3 linked regions of the Arabidopsis thaliana genome follow. The main gene of each other region encodes a partner of the protein of the gene in region 2 in a complex. Each region holds a gene or a part of one and is shown on either strand. Other genes may lie near its edges. A codon is read from its position in the direction of its gene.

Evidence for each region.
Region 1: the proteins of HAE (region 2) and IDA are in contact, whole or in part, in a crystal structure (PDB 5IYX), measured with the Arabidopsis thaliana proteins. Residues at the interface, in NP_194578.1 of Arabidopsis thaliana: Tyr97 (codon at 3,804), Asn98 (codon at 3,801), Glu123 (codon at 3,726), Ser147 (codon at 3,654), Gly148 (codon at 3,651), Ala171 (codon at 3,582), Gly172 (codon at 3,579), Tyr196 (codon at 3,507), Trp218 (codon at 3,441), Asn240 (codon at 3,375), Asp242 (codon at 3,369), Gln264 (codon at 3,303), Glu266 (codon at 3,297), Phe268 (codon at 3,291), Arg288 (codon at 3,231), Phe289 (codon at 3,228), Asp290 (codon at 3,225), Met293 (codon at 3,216), Ser311 (codon at 3,162), Asn313 (codon at 3,156), Phe315 (codon at 3,150), Glu316 (codon at 3,147), Glu335 (codon at 3,090), Lys337 (codon at 3,084), Phe339 (codon at 3,078), Asn340 (codon at 3,075), Asp361 (codon at 3,012), Ser363 (codon at 3,006), Tyr364 (codon at 3,003), Tyr383 (codon at 2,946); in NP_564941.1 of Arabidopsis thaliana: Val57 (codon at 2,277), Ile59 (codon at 2,283), Pro60 (codon at 2,286), Ser62 (codon at 2,292), Ala63 (codon at 2,295), Pro64 (codon at 2,298), Ser65 (codon at 2,301), Lys66 (codon at 2,304), Arg67 (codon at 2,307), His68 (codon at 2,310), Asn69 (codon at 2,313).
Region 3: the proteins of HAE (region 2) and IDL1 are in contact, whole or in part, in a crystal structure (PDB 5IYV), measured with the Arabidopsis thaliana proteins. Residues at the interface, in NP_194578.1 of Arabidopsis thaliana: Glu123 (codon at 3,726), Ser147 (codon at 3,654), Gly148 (codon at 3,651), Ala171 (codon at 3,582), Gly172 (codon at 3,579), Tyr196 (codon at 3,507), Trp218 (codon at 3,441), Asn240 (codon at 3,375), Asp242 (codon at 3,369), Gln264 (codon at 3,303), Glu266 (codon at 3,297), Phe268 (codon at 3,291), Arg288 (codon at 3,231), Phe289 (codon at 3,228), Asp290 (codon at 3,225), Ser311 (codon at 3,162), Asn313 (codon at 3,156), Phe315 (codon at 3,150), Glu316 (codon at 3,147), Glu335 (codon at 3,090), Lys337 (codon at 3,084), Phe339 (codon at 3,078), Tyr359 (codon at 3,018), Asp361 (codon at 3,012), Ser363 (codon at 3,006), Tyr364 (codon at 3,003), Tyr383 (codon at 2,946), Ile385 (codon at 2,940), Arg407 (codon at 2,874), Arg409 (codon at 2,868); in NP_566774.1 of Arabidopsis thaliana: Leu67 (codon at 901), Val68 (codon at 898), Pro69 (codon at 895), Pro70 (codon at 892), Ser71 (codon at 889), Gly72 (codon at 886), Pro73 (codon at 883), Ser74 (codon at 880), Met75 (codon at 877), Arg76 (codon at 874), His77 (codon at 871), Asn78 (codon at 868).

The regions. Positions count from the first base shown.
Region 1 is NC_003070.9:25,829,357-25,832,498, reverse strand, and holds IDA (Putative membrane lipoprotein), read left to right. Parts: upstream 1-1,717; 5' UTR 1,718-2,108; coding exon 2,109-2,342; 3' UTR 2,343-2,582; downstream 2,583-3,142. Other genes in the region: AT1G68780 (RNI-like superfamily protein), read left to right, coding at 1-618; NUDX1 (nudix hydrolase 1), read right to left, coding at 2,892-3,142. UniProt on the Arabidopsis thaliana protein: Involved in an ethylene-independent separation step of floral abscission. Promotes abscission zone (AZ) cells rounding. May act with RLK5 and HSL2 as ligand-receptor pairs.
Region 2 is NC_003075.7:14,076,010-14,081,985, reverse strand, and holds HAE (Leucine-rich receptor-like protein kinase family protein), read right to left. Parts: upstream 4,311-5,976; 5' UTR 4,093-4,310; coding exon 1,491-4,092; intron 1,419-1,490; coding exon 1,021-1,418; 3' UTR 529-1,020; downstream 1-528. Other genes in the region: DMP7 (transmembrane protein, putative (DUF679 domain membrane protein 7)), read left to right, coding at 5,975-5,976. UniProt on the Arabidopsis thaliana protein: Receptor with a dual specificity kinase activity acting on both serine/threonine- and tyrosine-containing substrates that controls floral organ abscission. May interact with the 'INFLORESCENCE DEFICIENT IN ABSCISSION' (IDA) ligands family.
Region 3 is NC_003074.8:9,336,871-9,339,929, forward strand, and holds IDL1 (inflorescence deficient in abscission (IDA)-like 1), read right to left. Parts: upstream 1,206-3,059; 5' UTR 1,100-1,205; coding exon 839-1,099; 3' UTR 561-838; downstream 1-560. Other genes in the region: AT3G25660 (Amidase family protein), read right to left, coding at 2,770-2,856, 2,937-3,050. UniProt on the Arabidopsis thaliana protein: Involved in an ethylene-independent separation step of floral abscission. May act with RLK5 and HSL2 as ligand-receptor pairs.

The DNA of each region.
Region 1 (3,142 bases), on a different chromosome or scaffold from region 2:
AGGAATTTCTTATCTGGGGCGTTGCCTTTAAGCGTTGGAGGATTGTATTCTCTGCTGAAACTTGATCTTAGTAACAATTACTTGGAAGGAAAGTTACCTAGAGAGCTAGAGTCCTTGAAGAATCTCACTCTATTGGACTTGAGAAACAACAGATTATCAGGTGGGTTGAGTAAAGAGATCCAAGAGATGACTTCTTTGGTAGAACTGGTTCTGTCCAATAATCGCCTAGCCGGGGACTTGACAGGAATAAAGTGGAGAAATCTGAAGAATTTAGTGGTTCTTGATCTCTCCAACACAGGCTTAAAAGGGGAGATTCCTGGTTCAATCTTGGAGCTCAAGAAACTGAGGTTTTTGGGTTTGAGCAACAACAATCTCGGAGGCAAACTCATTCCACAAATGGAAACCGAAATGCCTAGTCTCAGCGCGCTTTACGTGAATGGAAATAACATCAGCGGAGAGTTGGAATTCTCTAGGTACTTTTATGAGAGAATGGGAAGGAGACTTGGTGTTTGGGGGAACCCTAATCTGTGTTACAACGGAGATGAGACCAAGAACCTTAGCGATCATGTTCCTTTCGGAGTGAACCAATGTAAGAGAATTAAGGCAGATAAATATTAGAACCCTCGTTCTGAATCAAAGGGTTTGTGATAACAAAAACTTGGAATGATACAAAGCTGTGGTCTTTTCAATTTTGTTATTGCATCTTATTTCTATAGCATTATTTTGTTTTAAATTATTTAGCGTATTTACAAAATATAGTTTTGATATCTCGAAGTTCATTAGAAAAACTTCCAAGTATTTTTTTTTTAGATCATACAATCATAAAATTAAATAACAGACTTACCTAGTTTAAATTTACTGTGTATCAATGATTCAATGTATGATACGGTCGGTTCTTACCTAGTTAAAATTTGTTTTTTTTTAGTATATGTAAAGATCTACCTGTTTCCATCAAATTAGAAGAATTGTATGATTTTATGCGACATGTCTAATCGTAGGAGGTATGTTGGAACTTTATTTTATTTTGGCATTTCATAAAGGAAATATAAAAAATTCTATTTAGGTAAAAATAATAATCCGTGACTAAGTCCGATATAGATGCAGAAATCAGGTGGATATCCAAATCAAATTTGGCATAATTTAAAGAAAAATGTGAATCATGGAAAGCCACTTGTCAAGTTGTAAAATTGTGTATAACTGAGTCAACCCTCCAAGCTACTTTTTGTTCTCTCTTTAATTTCTTAAAATACCTTCTCACGCAAAAGATAGAGTTGGTATACATTGTTTTTACGTGTTTTATGCATGCATTTTTCAGTATATTTTATGTGTATATTCGTTTAACTAAATTATTATTTATTCCGTATCATGATTAACCTACGACATGTTATCATTTAGTCTAATCCTTTTACTATACATACGTGTATTGTCTACCACTTTCGTCATTCGTCCAAGGATGATATCTAATTTTCTTTCTGCACGACATATATGATATATTGTGTGCTTAAAGAAAGCTCATGAGTCATGTCTGATATTTGAGTTCGAATTTCGAAAACTAATCTTGCTTTACTATTCATACATCTTGTGATATAGTTACTGTTGAAAGTTGAATAATGCAAAAGAAAACAAAAGATAGCTCATGGTGACGATGCCTATAAAACCATTAATTATTCTTCTTCCCGTCAACGTACTTGTACATATATGATGAAATCTTGAAAAAAACGACCATCCCATCAAACCAGATTCCCATTTCCTAGCATAAAATGGACTTCTATAGAAAAATACAAAGGAAAATAAAAGTCGAAGGCGGTGACTAAAACAACGAGAAAAACTCAAACCTTTGAAAACTTTAGAATTCTTATAAAATAATAAGGAAAATTCAAAGTCTCAATAGCGTGGGATTCACTCCACTCTTACCATTCCCCGACTTCCCCCTCATTTCCGCCACACTTATTTCCAATCAAATCCACACACACACATGTTATAAATATAACACATAGTCACATACATACACATTATTCATTTCATTCATAAGACCCTTCATTCATTTACTCAAAGAAGTGGAAGTGAAAAAATTAGAAAAAGAGAAGAAAAAAAACATTGACTACCAAATGGCTCCGTGTCGTACGATGATGGTTCTGCTCTGTTTTGTTCTGTTTCTCGCGGCGAGTAGTTCTTGTGTAGCGGCTGCAAGAATTGGAGCCACCATGGAGATGAAGAAGAATATAAAGAGATTAACGTTTAAAAACAGCCATATTTTTGGTTACTTACCTAAAGGCGTTCCCATTCCTCCTTCTGCTCCTTCTAAGAGACACAACTCTTTTGTTAACTCTCTTCCTCATTGATTTCATTTTATTTTATTCATTGTATTCTTTTAGGTTTGGTTTTGTAGATTAGATCAACATAGGGTATTATACTCTTTGTATATGCATACGATTTATATTTACTTTTGAATTTGTTCCTTTTTATGTTTATAGACTTAATATATGTTTAAGGTCATTACGGCCATATAAAGATCAAGAAATCGATTAAGCTTTGTTAGCCTTCTACTAAAGAATATTCCATAGACCTCACTCATCATACGCTAATCAAACATATGTTTTTATGCAACTTGTAAGTTATATCATTCGTCTTTCTCAAATAGGTCAATGTTTGAGTTAAGACTTAAGAACGTAATAATCAAACATAGAGAAATAAAATCGATAGGACACATGATAAGTTTATTACTAATTAGGAAAACAGAAACCAAAAATACAATAAAAAAGAGTAAAAGAGAGGGGCATTCCGAGAATTGAACTCGGGACCTCTCGCACCCTAAGCGAGAATCATACCACTAGACCAAATGCCCAATTTGCAACATTCAATCCCAAATCAATCATTAACTCTTACATCTATTAGTCTCCACCACCATGAGTGAAAGGATTGAAACCACTTCCAAACAATTTCTCAAGTGGCCAAAACAAAGGCTTTGGTAGATTCTCCCAATCATACCAATCCCATCCTTCACACTTCTCTGGTTCCATATTCTTCGGTTCTTGACTTGGATCCACCAACACCGCACGTATCGAAACAGAGACGTAGTGTGATGGCGTTGGTGCTTCTTTGAAGACATTGTTTGTAACAGTCAAAAGCTTCATCTTTTCAA
Region 2 (5,976 bases):
GAGATGGAGTAAGTTTGGGGCAAGGTGTTGTTGCTGGTCTGTGAGAGCTCAGACGTGATATGGTAGAACAAAAAATAAGAAAGAGAAGTTAAGGTCCAATGTCACCCTAGAGTGTATGTAAAGATATTATACATAAACTTATACTTATAATTTACACATATTTAACATCTCCATCATCAGTATATTACTGTATGTACATAAATTTTACTGAAATCACATACTGATATTAGTGATATACGTTAGAAAACATTATAATATTGGTTTTTAGATAGATAAAAAGAAAAAGAAAAAAAAAGAAAAAAAATGGAAAGTTAAAAAGCTAGTCATTATTCTATTTCTTCACGTAGACTTCTCATGCATAACATTAACAAGGAACCTCCTCAACCTTTATTTATTTTTTCTCTTTGTTTTCTGATTTTTGTTTCTGCTCTCCCCTGTTAACTCTAAACACATGTTATACAACCTATTCTTAATTTATTATCAAACTAAACAAAAAATTATGAACAAATGTTACACTTCTGTGTCTGTTGGAAAATTTTGTGGTTAGCTTGTTGTTTTCATTGGTGGATCGAAACCGCGGCAAGGTGTCATTCAAGAAATCTATCTAACCACATTATACTGACATATGCTGTCTATGCTTGGCTATTTAGAATTTACTTTTTATAATGGCATTAGTATTACCACACTAAGTTTTACTTTATAAGAATATGAAAAAAAAATTAGAAAAAAAAATATTGATCATCACTCGTCAGAATCGATCCGTTTTCCAAAATTGAACTGGTAACGAGCTCGAGTTTAAATAAGGTTGGCTATTGGGTGGACCAACCACCAAATATTGCAAATATTGCGTTAAATTAAAATTAATATCCAAATTATAACTTTATATTAGCTTTAAGAGCAATTACCTAATCAGAAAGCTCCACTTTTCTGTTTTTGATATCTTTCTTACAGTTCACCTAGCATCATAACATCAAATTGCTATCCCCGGCCCAAACCGATTCTCAGCCCATATTGGAATGTTCAAACGCTGTTCAAGTCTTCCGTGTAGTAAGGCGAGAGTTTCCCACCGGTTTTAGATCGTTTAGATGTGTTTGGACTGCTACAAGGAACAGCACCAGAGACTTCTTGAAGCATGATCACAACTTTTCTCATGGAAGGTCTGTTTAGAGGGAGAGGACTCGTACAGAGTAGACCAATGTGAATGACTTTACTAATTTCTTCTTTGAACTTGAGATCGAGTTTGGGATCGATCACGGGTTCTAAACCGCATTTGTCAAGTGCAGTGCACACCCATTTTGCCATATCTTTATCTCCAAGTTCTGAATCAGTTGGTTGCTTCCCTGTAACCAGTTCCAAAAGCACCACACCAAAGCTGTAGATATCGCTCTTTTCATTCACCCGAAGTGTGTATACGTATTCTGCAAAATTGAAAACTATTAATATAAGATCAAAAGTTACAAAATGCAGCTGAAATATGTTTTGGTTTATACCTGGTGCAATGTAACCACAAGAACCGGCGATCCCGGACATAGCTTCTGGAGTTTTGGAACCACTCATCTGACCGACTTTAGCGATCCCAAAGTCAGCAACTTTAGCCCCATAATCGCTATCTAGCAGTATGTTACTCGACTTCACATCGCGGTGCACAATGGGAGGAACACAATCATGGTGCAAGTATGATAAACCCTCGGCAGCGTCCAAAGCAATCCTCAACCGCTCTGGCCAACCCAACACAACACCGCCTTTGCGGTCACCATGCAACACATCAGCTAAGCTCCCATTAGGCATGTACTCATACACCAACAACTTACAATCACCAGAGCTGCAACAACACCACAAACGCACAATACTCTTGTGCCTAATCGTCCCCAACGTTTCAACCTCCGCTGCAAAAACATCTCTATTCAACGAATCACTACTGTATTCATCATCTCCTCCTTTAACACTTTTGTTAAGTTTCTTCACAGCTACAACTTCTCCACCTCTAAGCTCAACTTTATAGACTTTACCAGAAGATCCAAACCCGATTACGTTCTTTTCATCGAGACAATCAGCTATCTCGTGCTCACTGAAATGAAGCTTGTGGAATGATCTCCATTTCGACGCTGCTAAAGTAGAACTCTTCAAAGCTCTGAGTTTTCTACACTTGGCAATGAACATAACGATCCCGACAACGAAAACCAAACCGGCGAGTAAGAAAATCGTTAAAAGAATCCATACATAGCCGATGTTTTTAGACCGTGTGATCTTCCGACAAAGGCCGTCGAGATCAACACATAAACCGGGATTTCCGATGAAGTCATGTGCGTAGATTTTATTAGCGTAGAGAGGAGGGATTTTACCGGAGAGGTGATTATACGAAAGGTTTAAAACGTTTAGCTTCAGATTCTGTAACTCCAACGGAATCTCACCGGAGAATTGATTGCTTGAAAGGTCAAGGTAATTGAGAACAGGTAAGATTCCGACTTCTTTAGGGATTTCACCGGAGAGATGATTATTAGCCAAATTAAGCTCGTTTAGATTCTTCCAACCACGAAGTTCTCTAGGAATCTCACCGGAGAGTTGATTCTTACTGAGATCAAGCCTGCTCAATTGCTTCAATTTCACCAAGCTTTCAGGAATCTCACCGGAGAAATCATTCTCCGCTCCGGAAATCTCGATTATTCCGTTAAGCGATCCGATTTCGTTGGGGATTGAACCTGAAAATCGATTCTTTGAGATTCGTAGGTTCGATAGATTCTTCGCGCCGATGATCGTCTTAGGAATACTTCCGGTGAACGAATTGTCAGAGAGTTCGAGAAGTGACAAGCGAGGCAATCCCCAGAATCCATGTGGGATTTGACCCGAAAGCTTGTTGTTACTCAATCGGACCCGGGTCAAGCTCTTACACTTTCCGAGATTATTAGAGATTTCTCCTGAAAACGAATTGTCTATAAGAATTAGATACTCTAGCTTCCCTTCACCGCAGACATTCGCCGGTATTTCGCCGGAAAATCGGTTATACGATAAGTCCACGTACTGTAACGGTGAGTTAGCGCCGAGTTGACTCGGTAATACTCCGGTGAGTCTGTTGTTGAAAAGCTTGAGTTCTGACAAGGTTTTGGAGCGAGTTATGCTCTCCGGTAAAGGACCTTCGAGCATGTTCTCGAAGAGATTGAGTGACTCGAGGTTTAACAGATTCAAGTTGTCGGGTATTTTTCCTGTCAGCTTATTCATCGACGCGTCGAATCTTTTTAGCGTCGTCATGTTACCCATGGATTCTGGTAACTCGCCTGAGAACGAGTTGTTGAATAGTTCGATTTGCTCGACGGTTTTTAGCTGCGTGATCCAACTTGGGATAGATCCTGTGAGTTGGTTAAATGTCAAATCCAAGTTAACCAAACTAGTTAACCGGGACAGAGACGGAGGTATCGGACCGACGAGGTTGCAGCCGGCGAGCCAGAGAACTTGGAGCTCCGTGAGGTTTCCGAGTTGACTCGGGATTTGACTCGGAGAAAACAAATTGTAAGCGAGTTTGAGTTCTTTAAGAGTCGTGACGTTACCGAGAGAGGCGGGAATTGTACCGGAGAGGAAGTTACCGGCGAGGTTTAAAGACTCAAGCTTTCGAAACTCTCCGAAGCTCGACGGGATCGTGTCTGATAAGTTGTTTCCGGAGATTTCAAGGAACTTGAGGTTTGGGAGATTGAAAGGAAGTGACTTTGGGATGGATCCAACCAATAGATTCTCCGATAAATCAAGACTGATGAGATTGTGACACGTATCGAAGTCGTCGGCGGAGAGAGAGCCATTGATGGAGTTATTATATAGAGAGAGGGAATGGAGAGAAGGAAGGTGGCAGAGGATGGAGGGGAAAGGTCCGACGAGCATGAAGCTTGAGAGATCGACGGAGACAACGTTTGACGTGGCGTCGCAGCTCACGCCTAGCCACTTGCATGGGGTGACGTCGTTGTTGTCGGACCATGAAGATAGGGACTGGGCCGGGTCGGATAAGCCCAGTTTGGCTTGCCGGAGAATGGTGGCATCTTGGTTTAGAGATAGACTTGGTAGATACGTAGAAGAGAGACATAGGAGGAGAATAAGACAATAAAGCATTTTTTTGGAAAAGGAATCGTTATTCTTCTTTTTTCATGCTTTGGATTTGTGAATAAAACGAAATTATGGATTGGTAATTATAAGGAATTGTAGAAGCAAAAAGGGAAACGAGCACTGTGACAAGACATGGGTGAGACATGTTTTCCGATATTGGAAGAATTAGGAGGCAATAGTATACATCCATGTGAAATCGATTACGGAGCAAAGTACTACTGTACATATAAATCATAAACAAATTTGTAAAGTGATATTAAAAAAAAATCGGATTATGAATAATTACATAAGGTAATTTTATAAAAAATATTTTTTTGATAAATGAACAAACATTTAATTGTTCATTTGAAAAGAAACAGAATGGACCAATGGTCACTCTCCAAGTCAACTGAAATGCTATGATGGTCAAAATGATGGAGACAAATGGGCCATGTAATGCTGGATTTATGTTGACTTTTCGAGTCTGCATATAAAGCTTCTGGATTAATGTTATGAATGCATAACTTAATCACTTATGTGTGTGTGTATACTGTATTGTGATGAGGACATATCCTATGATTTTATATCGATGATCTCGAAAATTTGTTAAACCGAAAACTTAGCCACCTATGATCCCAACCCTAGATTGACTAACAATCTTTTAATTGGAAGTTTAGAACTATAGTGATGCTTCCAAGTTCCAATTGCTTGATGCGCATTTGTGAAGCCACGTGTATATGTAGACAAGGTCAAATTTGGTTGGTCGGAGAAACATGATCTAACAGTAGATTTTGTTAGATTACTTTCATTTCGATGGGAAAAGCAACAGTCACTATGATTTGAAAAAACAACGAGATTTAAGGGGGGAAAGAAGAGAAAATGATAGATCATGGCTTTAATCCGTGATCGAATATCACGAGTTTGCGCGATGGTACAACGCACTATGCACTATGATGTCACCTTAATCCAATAATGTTTAAGTCTTTGGTCCTCTAACGATAATGACTTTTCTTCTTCTTAGTTTGCATTCCCTTTACGTCTCCACAAGCACTCTGCCTTTTAATTGTTTTGGACTTTTGCTGTTAATAACGATATTCTCTTAAATTCTGTTATTCTGAAGCTTAATTCGTATGGAACAAAGAAGTAAAAAGGGTTTATTAGTGTATATAGAGTCTCAACACAACAGAGTCTCAACACAACAGAGACTCTATATACACTAATAGGGTTATACGTGATTTTTGTTTCGTTTTAAAAGTCCATATTTCATATGATTTACCAGTATGCAGTATGTAAAAGTTATATGAAATAGAGGTCACCTAAGTTCTCGTTCATATATTCTTATGAACAAACAAATGAAATTGCAGGTCCACTTCACAACCGATAACCTCTTTTAGCCGAAGAATAAATTCGTTCAAAGACCAATTTAATACAATTCTTTATGGTCCATACGTTAGACAGATTAGAATTAAGCCACGTCTTTGGAGAATTCTAATCTAGATTATTTTCGAAAAACTAGTTTTTACTAGTTTAGCAAAGTTTTACTATATCAATATAATAAAAGTAACTTTGATAATGATATATCTTCTTAGGAAACGGTGACAGAGTTTTAGTTTAATCCTTTCTGTTACAAAACTCCTATTTCTTGTTTCGTTACTCAAATGTTATTTGGTTTTTACGTTTTTTATTGCTAATCCTGACATGCAACAGAAACATAAAAATGGAAGAACAGAATATCAACCTTGAAACCTGAACAAACAACTCAACGGAAGCAAACACCAAAAAAGAAAGAAATCGAAACCCATAAAATCTTGTGCAATTCTTTCAAATCAGAATTAACCATAGAGACAAAAAAAAGAAACATATATAATCATTCGAATTTGCAGAGTGATTAACGAAAAAACAATTGAAGAT
Region 3 (3,059 bases), on a different chromosome or scaffold from region 2:
ATAAGTTCTATGCAATGACGATTGTAACAAGCTAAAAATTATAAATCACAAGATATGTACCATCCATTTTGATCCAAAAGAGTCAATGTACTAATTCATGCTTTGTTTCTTCCCTGTAAAGCTATTTGTAGCAGACTCCAACATGATTACGTATATGTTTTGGTCCTCATGTGTTGTTCATTGCTTTGGTTCTCATGTGTTGTTCATTGCTTTGGTTGATAAAGATTACATAAATGTTTTGGTGTTTCAGATCCCTGAAATCATCAGAAGGTTTGATGAGAAGCGTTTCACTTTGAAGGGTAACTGATTCCAAACTTGCTTCTAGTGATTTGATTATTTGATTTTGAGTCAACTGATGAGTGAGGATGTAGAGTACATGCATGAAGATGATGAGTGTTGAGCGAGATTTGGCTGAGAAGCTCACTACGAGGAGCTGTCTGGTGAATTCTTTGAATTTTTATTATTATTAGGCCAAACTTAAAGAAGCCCATCTCATACGAATAGACGCAGGCCGCAAATGGGCTCATGCAGTTCACTTATGCAATCCCAATGGATCTATATTACTGCTGAGAGATTTCTACAATTCGCAAATTCCATAGCTTGTGAATAGAAATTGTCTTGTTCATTATCAATTTGAATTTTTGTTCCCATAACAAATAATGAAAGATATAGTCTATATACATACGTATAACGTTCCAACCGAGATATTACAAATGTGAATGAACTCATTAAATACAACTTTAAGAATCTTTTCGAAATACAATTTCATGTAATTGTCAAAAAATTTTTGAAGCAAATCCTAAGAGATTGAAATTAAACCAAAAGAAAAAAAAAACAGTTAGTGTTTGAGATTATTCACCACAGAATTATGTCTCATGGAAGGTCCCGAAGGTGGTACAAGTACCCTTTTAGAAAATGAATGGAACACACGACCTTTGAATGTAAAACCCCCAATGATCTCTTGTCTTGATCTTGTTTGAACTATTTCCGTTTCAGAAAGCTTAATCGGTCCGATCCTTGCCGTGGCGTTGTATGAACCAAAAATCAAGAGGAAAACAATATAAAGAGTCATAAACATGGTTTTATGAGAAAGATTCATATAATGTTCGGAGAAAGAAGAAGAATAAGGAGGAGGAGACACTAATTTAGCTATTAGCTAGGGTTTTATAAATTTTGGATTTTAAGAAGGCGGTTTAAGTTTTGAGATGTATATATGAGCGTGTATATATATGATATATCATGTATGAAAGTATGCACATTCTTGTATGATTGGTCAAACAAGAAAAGCAAAAGAAAAATAAAGAAGTGAAGCGCAAGTAATGGAATGTTAGTATTTTGTGATAATATTAAAAGGTCAACGATACTACGATAGTGAATAAAAGACTTGAAATGCCGCGTTGGACGATGGTGTACGTACGTGTGATTACCTCTAGTTGTCTGTCAAAATTTAATTATCAAACATTATTGGTATTATATTGTGTAAAATATAATTTCATCATCAATTATGTGTGTAAAATTTAAATTTTTGTAAGAGAATCACGTTGTTGTAGACTTTGTATATTATATACACATTATGTGTGAACAAAAGAACAATGCGTACGTGATTGTTTAGTCCAAAGTTAGGTGCCAATGACTATCAAATCATTTGGTCTTCGATTTTGAAAGAAAAGTAAATTCTATTTTCCTTTTTCTTGTAGCTTTTTAACATGATCTCTTGAGAAGGACTTGCGTAAATAGTTTGAAGCTAACCACCATGTATAGTCCATAGGCCAAATAAACAAGTTTTGTTTAAAGAAATTATTTCCGTTATTAGGGGTTACCAAACAATTAATTTATCATATTTAATAGTTAATTATTCACCTGCAAATTATTTGTGGCACCTAATATTTAAATTATTTATCAGCACATAATTTTGTTCTGTTATAACAACTAACATAACATTTCGTCCAACAAAAATCTCTTTTCATAGGTTAATGTGTTTATATATTCATGTGACAACTTTCACGGAGTAGACGTAAATGTCAAACCATGCACACGCATGATCCGTTGGATTTTGATCGTCCACTGGAGACAGATATTCGTCTGGACCACTAGATTTCTGAGATTTTAATATGTTTGCATAATTATAGGTAATAACATATGATTTCTTCAGAATTATTCTAGAAATTTTAAAGTAGTCTATACTTATACTCTAGCACCAGAGTTTCATTTTATAAAATGCCAATAATCTATTTGAAACGTGTAATGCTTTTGACCATTTATTAAGATTTGTGTTGGTACTAGTGGACAAATTTTAAGTTTACTTACTCAAGATTTATAACAAAATATACAAATTTAAATATTGTGTTAATCAATCATGATACAACCATAATTAATAATAATCATGTGCATGAATGCAATGGCAAGGACTTCTTTTCAGTTGATACAATTTTTTAGTTTATTTACTCAAGATTTATAACAAAATATACATATTTAAAAATTGTGTTAATCAATCATGATACTCAACAATAATCAAGTGCATGAATGCAATGGCAAGGGCCAAGGACCAATAAATCAAAAACGAATAAAAGAAAAAAACCATCCCCATTTAGGAGTACCAAATAAGAGCATAGAGACCAAGAAGAAGAAGAAGAAAGAATACGTATGTGGCCCATGGGGTGTATCTACATTTATATTATAAAAGAATTGAAGTACAATTACAATTGATAAATCCGTTGCTTAAACCAAGCATGAAATGTAAACGCAAAAAGAGCCTTGGTGGTTACATGGTTAGGCTACATTGGCTAACAATGGAGGAACAAAGCTCGATCCTTTAAGAGTCTGCTCAAATATGTGACCCACTTTCAGCAATTTCTCCTAAAACCAATCAACAAATCATCATGTGAATCTTAATCTAATCTTTTAGAGTAAGCAAAGAGACAGAGTTTATAACAAACCTCATCAAACGCTGCTCCGATCATTTGAAGACCAACAGGAAGACCCGAGGGACCACCTTCGACTAATCCACAAGGTAATACCATTGCAGGAAGTCCGGCAAGATTCACATTGACCTGCAACAA